Linked DNA regions of Xenopus tropicalis. The protein of the gene in region 1 interacts with the protein of each later gene in a pairwise test. Links are inferred from orthologs where the notes say so. Each region holds a gene or a part of one and is shown on either strand. Other genes may lie near its edges.

Region 1 (3,657 bases):
GAGGAAAGGGAATCATTTAACCATTAAATAAACTCAATAGGGCTATTCTGCCCCCAATAAAGGGTAATTATATCTTAGTTGGGATCAAGTACAGGTACTGTTTTATTATTACAGAGAAAAGGGAATCATTTAACCATTAAATAAACCCAATAGGGCTGTTCTGCCCCAATAAGGGGTAATTATATCTTAGTTGGGATCAAGTACAGGTACTGTTTTATTATTACAGAGAAAAGGGAATCATTTAACCATCCCTACAGCTCTGATCTGCCCCCTACCCCATTGCCCTGCGCTGGTGACACAGCCGCTTTCTGTCCTTATGAAAATCATTTTTCCTGTGAAACATTTGCACTCGTGCCTATTTTTTCAGAATCCTAAATCAACACGCTGGCATGGCGTCAGTCAATAAACAATCGGCCAAATGGCAGTGCTGAGCCCTGTGCTATTATATAATTGCCTCAAACACTAGAGATGGGAGGGGCCAGCCATGTCACTGTGTCATACATATCCCTGGCTCATGTGACTGCTGAGTCTGTACCAGTAGTGTGTGATCTCTGTCCTGCAGGGTGTCAGTTGGCTCTCCCTGGCACAGGCTCACAGGTTTCATGTGTATGGGTGGTGCCTGGCTTGTAGATTCCATGCAGATACAATTAAGTGCACTCTTCCAGGGCCTTAAAGCAATACTGTCACAGGAAAACAAAATATTTTCACAACCCATCAGTTAATAGACATTCTCCAGCAGAATCCTGCATTGTAATCTGTTTTTCCCATGGGGCTAGCCATATTCTTCATTTCCGAGGGTGCCACAGCCATGTGACCTGTGCTCTGATAGACCTGCTGTGCTGCAAGTTGGGGTGATATCCCCCACCCTGACCCCCAGCAGCCGATCAGTAGAACAATGGGAAGGGAGCAAGATAGCAGCTCCCAGTAGGTATCAGAATAGCACTCAATAGTAAGAAATCCAAGTCCGCCTTGGGATTCCTCCAGTTACATGGGAGTAGGAGAAACAATAGGTTAGCTGAAAGCAGTTCTAATGTGTAGCGCTGGCTGAAAGCTCAGACTCAGGCACACTTTACTGCTGCGCTGCAAGTTGGAGTGATATCCCCCCCCCCTCACCCCCAGCAGCCGATCAGCAGAACAATGGGAAGGGAGCAAGATAGCAGCTCCCAGTAGGTATCAGAATAGCACTCAATAGTAAGAAATCCAAGTCCGGCTTGGGACTCCTCCAGTTACATGGGAGTAGGAGAAACAATAGGTTAGCTGAAAGCAGTTCTAATGTGTAGTGCTGGACCTGCAGCGCTCTGATACCTGTATTGGTTCCAGCTGTGTATAACCAAGCCTTTCCCTTTCCCTTCCCATCTCCAGGTGATATCCACGGACAGTACACGGATTTACTGCGGCTGTTTGAATACGGGGGCTTTCCGCCAGAAGCCAATTACCTCTTCCTGGGGGATTATGTGGACAGAGGGAAGCAGTCACTGGAAACCATCTGCCTGCTGCTGGCATATAAAATCAAATACCCAGAAAATTTCTTCCTGCTCAGAGGGAACCATGAGTGTGCGAGCATCAACCGGATCTACGGGTTCTACGATGAATGTGAGTGTGTCCCACACTGGGCTCCCTGGACAGTGCCAACGACTGCGTAGCCATTGTGGGATGTTTGTTGGTGATATGATAATGAGGACCCCCTCCTACAGATTTTAGTGGTCAGCTGTACCGTCTCTTTTCACATATAGCTCACACCAATTCTAATTTTTATAATCCAGTTTACTTGGTCAAATCTCAGTGCAACTGTACAGTAGTTGTACTTTAAAAGGAACTTGGTTTAGTTTGCTTTGAATAACCTTGTTTTGCTGTTTGTATTTTCTGTGCTGCAATGAGCTTCAGTCACACTTTACTGCTGCGCTGCAAGTTGGAGTGATATCCCCCCCCCCTCACCACCAGCAGCCGATCAGCAGAACAATGGGAAGGGAGCAAAATATCAGCTCCCAGTAGGTATCAGAATAGCACTCAATAGTAAGAAATCCAAGTCCGGCTTGGGACTCCTCCAGTTACATGGGAGTAGGAGAAACAGTAGGTTAGCTGAAAGCAGTTCTAATGTGTAGTGCTGGCTGAAAGCTCAGACTCAGGCACACTTTACTGCTGCGCTGCAAGTTGGAGTGATATCCTCCCCCCCCCCCCCCCCCCAGCAGCAGATGGCGCCTACACACCAATATTACAGCTACAAATACATTTGTTGGTTCAAGAATAAAAGGTTAAATGGCAGAGGGAATTGATTATTTGTTGTGTAACAGTGTCATTTAGAAATAAAAAAACATGAGATCATTTTGTGGCAGGGGTGTGATGTATTTATAGTTTTTTCTTTCTTTATATCATGTTTACCATTCCTTGAAGTGTGAAGCTCAACTCCTTCCTTTGCTTTTCCCATTCTCTAGGCAAACGGAGGTTTAACATTAAACTGTGGAAGACATTTACAGACTGCTTCAATTGCCTGCCTATCGCTGCCATCGTGGATGAAAAGATTTTCTGTTGCCATGGAGGTACGCCATCTTTGTAACTGACTGGCAGGGCCCTTTTGTGACATATATGTCATGTATATGTATCTTATAAATATTGCTAGAAATCTGTTAGATTCCTCGGGGCAGTTATTCACTGTCGGTATAGCTGGATGTTGCCTACAGCCAAATACTTGTCCTAATTCCATCGTGTTTAGCTGTAGGCTCTATAATATGTGTCTGTGCCGGAGAGTCAGGCTGTAACCTGATGGCTTTGTACTGGTCAGCCGTGTTATTTAGTAATGGTACCAGTACTACCACCCTGTGCCCTGCATCATAAATATAGGTAACATCCAGGCTAGACTTTGTTTCTTTTGAGCCTTGCATAGTGTTAAGCAGTGTTTTTTCTAAAGGTGGCTATAAACTGCATGATCCGCTCACTTGGCACGGTCACTGAGCAAGCAAATCTTCTCCCAATATCCCCACCTATGGGTGGGTGATATTGGCCTAATTCGTTTGTTTGGCCCTGGAGCCAAACCATCGAATTAGAATGGCGGGTATAAGCGCAGTCCGTTCCGACTACATTTTCAAACCCGCCCGATTGATATCTGGCCAATTTCAGGCCAGATATCTGTTGGGCAGGCCCGTCGGTAGTGCCCATACACGGGTATAAGCTGCCAAATTGGTGTAAGGGACCGATATCGGCAGCTAGAATCGGCCCGTGTATGGCCACTTTTATTCGATCTTTTGACTCTAGGGCCTAACGATTGAGTTAAAATAGTGGGAATAGGCATTGTTGGTTCAGTGACTGCATCAATGAGCCAATGCTGTCCCCGATCCAACGGAAAAATCAAACCTGCCCCATAGAGATTTGCCCAATTTCAGGCCAGATGTCGGGGAGGCCTGTTAGTGGTGCCCATACATGGGCAGGTAAGCTGCCAAATCGGCAGCTAAAATTGCCCCGTGTATGGCCATCTTTAGGCTGTGCTTATATAACCTTTGCCTCATATACTGTGTGAGCAAATATCCCCTTATTTCAGATCTCATAACTGACCCTCAAGCTCACAGGCTTATCCAGAGGCTCCGATCTTACCTTATGTGGCCTTTTAGGGCAATGACAGATGCACAGATTCTGAACCCGTAGCAGGTTGTATAAATTACACAA
Region 2 (3,875 bases), on another chromosome or scaffold:
AGCAACGCAACACTAAATAGGAAGCAAGACCCTGCTCTTCATGGAATACAGTTCACTTTTAATGGGTTAGCAACTTTCAATTGGATTGTTTTAAATAGTTTTTGAATTACTGGCATTCTTTTGACACTTTCCCACTTTCAAATGGGGATCACTGACCCCAGCAGTCAAAAAAAAAACTTGCAGCTGCTTTTTTACTCTTTATTTCTTATCTTTCTATTTAGTCCCTCACCTTATATTCTTGGCTCTTCCTGGTTGCTAAGATTACCAAACTTACTCTTGAAAGCAGCCAATAAAAAACAAATTTATTTAAGTACCACAGATAAGAAATGAAGAATTGCACACTCTCATGCTAAATGTTAGTAAGTTAGTGTTAAGGTGAACAACCCATTTAAAGTTTGCTTGTAATGTTATGGAACTAAAGTTAAGCAACAAAGTGAGATCAGACTGCTTTTCTCTCAATGTATATCTGATGTGTTTAATTTTTTATTTTTAGTGTTCTGGACTTTTTTCCTCATAAGACAATGGCGGTAGACATCGCCATGAAGTTTTACTTGCGTTCCCCGCCATTGAGACGAGACCGTGTTGAATGCAGGATTGCCCGAAAGTCTAATGAACCCTTGAGACCGTGCATTCAGACAACTAATAAAACATTGCTGAGTGAACTGAGCAACCAAGAAAATAAAGTTAAGAAGCGGGTTTCATTTGCAGACAGTCGAGGCCTTGCACTTACCATGGTGAAAGTATATTCTGATTTTGATGATGAACTGGAAATTCCTTTTAATATATCAGAATTAATTGATAACATAGTCAACCTGACAACTGTGGAGAAGGAACGCTTTTTCTTGGACTTTGTGCAACCTTCTGCTGATTACTTGGACTTCAGAAACCGATTGCAAGCAGAAAGTGTGTGTCTAGAAAACTGCATGCTCAAAGACAAAGCTCTTGTTGGTACTGTAAAGGTTAAGAATCTTGCCTTCCAAAAGTCTGTGAAGATAAGAATGACCTGTGATAGTTGGCAAACTTACAAAGACTATGACTGTCTGTATGTTAAGGACACATACGCTGGTTCAGATAAAGACACTTTCTCATTTGATGTCAGCTTGCCAGAGGGTATCCAATCCAGTGCAAGCATAGAATTTGCTGTGTGTTTTGAATGCGAAGGAAGAATTTTTTGGGATAGTAATAAAGGTTTAAACTACAGAATTGTTAGACAGGATCATAGGATTCCCTCTGACTTTGAAAGTCGGCATTATGATCCTGTATGCTTGTCTGTTGATCAGTATGGGAGTCCTAGGTGCTCTTATGGCATTTTCCCAGAATTACAGACCTACTCTGGATTTGATAAACTAGGGCCTTATTATTAAAAATTGCATTAATAAAGAAAATTATTGGAGGAGACCGCCAAAAGTTTGTGGTGGTGCCAATCCTAATAAGGTAAAGTTGGGATTTGATGTAAAATATGTCCTTGTTGGGACTGGTAATGCACAATGAACTGAGAACCTATACTAGGTTATAATGCTGTCTTGTATCTAGCTTTCCTTTTTAAGGGATGCGTTTGGTGTCCTAATACTTAAATCCAAAGTAGCACCTTGCACCAAAGTAATGATGTGGTGATGCCAGGAAAAGTGATAACCTACAGTGCTGCTAGCCTTTTCCTTCCTATTGCTGCTACCAATCCACTGTTACTTTAATAGTATTGTCTTCCTCTGTGTTGCAGTTGGAAGCATTTTCATGTTCCTAGGATTTGAGAGATTTATGCCACATTTGACCACACCAAAACGCTATCCACGTCTCTTGTTTTTAAAATGTTTCGCTCTTCTCAGGTGAACGGATGTGATGGGCGTCATGGTGTAAATGTTTTTTGAATTTTTATTTCACTGCTTCACGTGCACAAATTTTTGTACCAGTTGAGTATCCACTGGCATGCCTCTTTAGATTTGGTACTGTACTGCAGCAATGTTATAAGTATTAAGTGTCTTGATATATAAAGGGCTGCACTCTAACCAGAAGGTCTTAATGTTGTCCAGAAGTGCATGTCCTGACCACCTCTAGAAAGCTAAATGCAAATATTTCCTATTCTTTCTGTCATTTGATCTCTGTGCCTTCAAGGATTTTTCTCCTCGTCGGATGGGTTTTAATCTTTGCATTTTGTTGGGTTCTTTAGTAGAAGTCTGCACTCTCTCCCCCCTCCCCCCTTCCTTTTTCCCTACACAAAGAAACAAATGCAGGTGTCCTTCCTCCCTCTGATTTCCCCCTCCCCTCCAAATGCAATTGCCCCTTATGTTCCTTTGGTTTCCTCTGGTGCTTTAATCATATAAATGGGTTTGTGTGTTTATCAAAACCCAGTTTCAGAAGTACAAGGGAATCTACCGATGGAATTGGCTACTAAAGCCATGATATGTTGTATAATTGTGACCATAGTAATTTCTTTCTGAAACTGAAGCATTCTAACTTTGGTCCCTGTTGTGAGTTAATGTGCACCCTTTATGGAAAAGATAGCCAGACTGTTTTTTTACATAAATGTTCAGGTTGGATTCTTGCTTTCAGATATATCTTCTACAATTGTTCTATATGGAACTGTGTGGTTTGCCATAGGGCATGACATTTGTGCACTTTAAACCATATTGTCATGTCTGTGTCATAAACAGCAATGGCATTTTATCTAAATTACGTAAAACTTTGGGTTTACTGGTAAACAAAAATAAGTTCCATTATGAACTTATTCTAAAAGGATAGGGTTAAGATATGCATTCATAATTGGGATGTTTCCAGCACTGCTGTGTGTGGTGCATTATATTTCTCCATGACTCTTTTGGCACATGTGAATTGCCATGGAACAGAACCAGCTGTGGTTGTTTTAATGAATATCTTGATCTGCAAATGAAAATATTGATAAGTCTTCACTACTGACCAAGAATGTAGAATCTAGACTGTTAGAATCAGAAAAGACTGATTCATTACCTGTTCCCAAACTATGCATTTCTGTGAATGTATAGAGAAAATGTCTTTCTATCCCTTTCCTTATTTTGTGCCTAGAAGTGCCTTGTTTAAATGTCGTTTTTTGTTTTTGCATGTTTGCATTTTTAAGACATATACATTTTGTACACAAGTGTTGTAATATTGATGCACTTTATAATCACAAGTGTGAACATTTCAAAATTTTTTTTTTTTTGTTTTTTTTTTTTTAGAAATATTTTAAAGTGAAATGTAATAAAGGTAGAGCATTTAACATGAACACTAGTTTGCTTTTTTTCTTGAATTGACTTGGTGTATGTATGTTTTGAGCAACTTTGACAGTATTTCTATTGTTAATCTTTCATATTTCACACACTAAAAAAAATAAATGCTTACACTAAGGCAGTACTATGAGTAATTTAACTTTGCACTCATCATGATATGCCTTGCAGATAGGGGAAGGCACCTGGCCAGTATTTCACCAGTATTCAGCAGCAATTAATTTGCCGGTAAATTTGTAATTACCTGTGCTTCCAGCCGGCCCTGAAATGCCACTTCCAAAACTGAATATTTGCTGGATTGGCTCTGGTCCATGCCCCTCACTGATCAAGGTTTGATTTGTATCACTAATTGGGTAATAGTTATCCTTAGGTCACCTTATAGTTACTCAGTAATTCAGGTTTGAATTGCATTTCTTGGCAGGGAGTGTTCTTGTCAAATCACTGGTTACCTAGATCTGTGGGAGAAAGACCAACACCCATTTTTAAAGACAATTATTAAAAAAAGTAAATTTGTGGGGGTGCCTACAAGCATGTAGAAATTTGGCAATTTTATTTACTCCATAACAACAATACAAATGAGCTGGGAAAGTAAAATAGGATTAAAGCAGTGGTGTAACATCACACCACCAGCCTCGCCCC

The links. The genes of interacting proteins can lie anywhere in the genome.
Region 2: the proteins of ppp1cb (region 1) and ppp1r3b interact in a two-hybrid assay, tested with the Homo sapiens proteins (2 studies listed by BioGRID and IntAct). The link is inferred for Xenopus tropicalis from reciprocal best matches to the Homo sapiens genes PPP1CB and PPP1R3B.

Annotation. Positions count from the first base shown.
Region 1 is NC_030681.2:5,962,190-5,965,846, forward strand, and holds part of ppp1cb (serine/threonine-protein phosphatase PP1-beta catalytic subunit), read left to right. Parts: intron 1-1,362; coding exon 1,363-1,593; intron 1,594-2,432; coding exon 2,433-2,537; intron 2,538-3,657. UniProt on the Homo sapiens protein: Protein phosphatase that associates with over 200 regulatory proteins to form highly specific holoenzymes which dephosphorylate hundreds of biological targets.
Region 2 is NC_030677.2:97,987,985-97,991,859, forward strand, and holds the end of ppp1r3b (protein phosphatase 1 regulatory subunit 3B), read left to right. Parts: intron 1-493; coding exon of another isoform or gene 494-521; coding exon 522-1,364; 3' UTR 1,365-3,219; downstream 3,220-3,875. UniProt on the Homo sapiens protein: Acts as a glycogen-targeting subunit for phosphatase PP1. Facilitates interaction of the PP1 with enzymes of the glycogen metabolism and regulates its activity.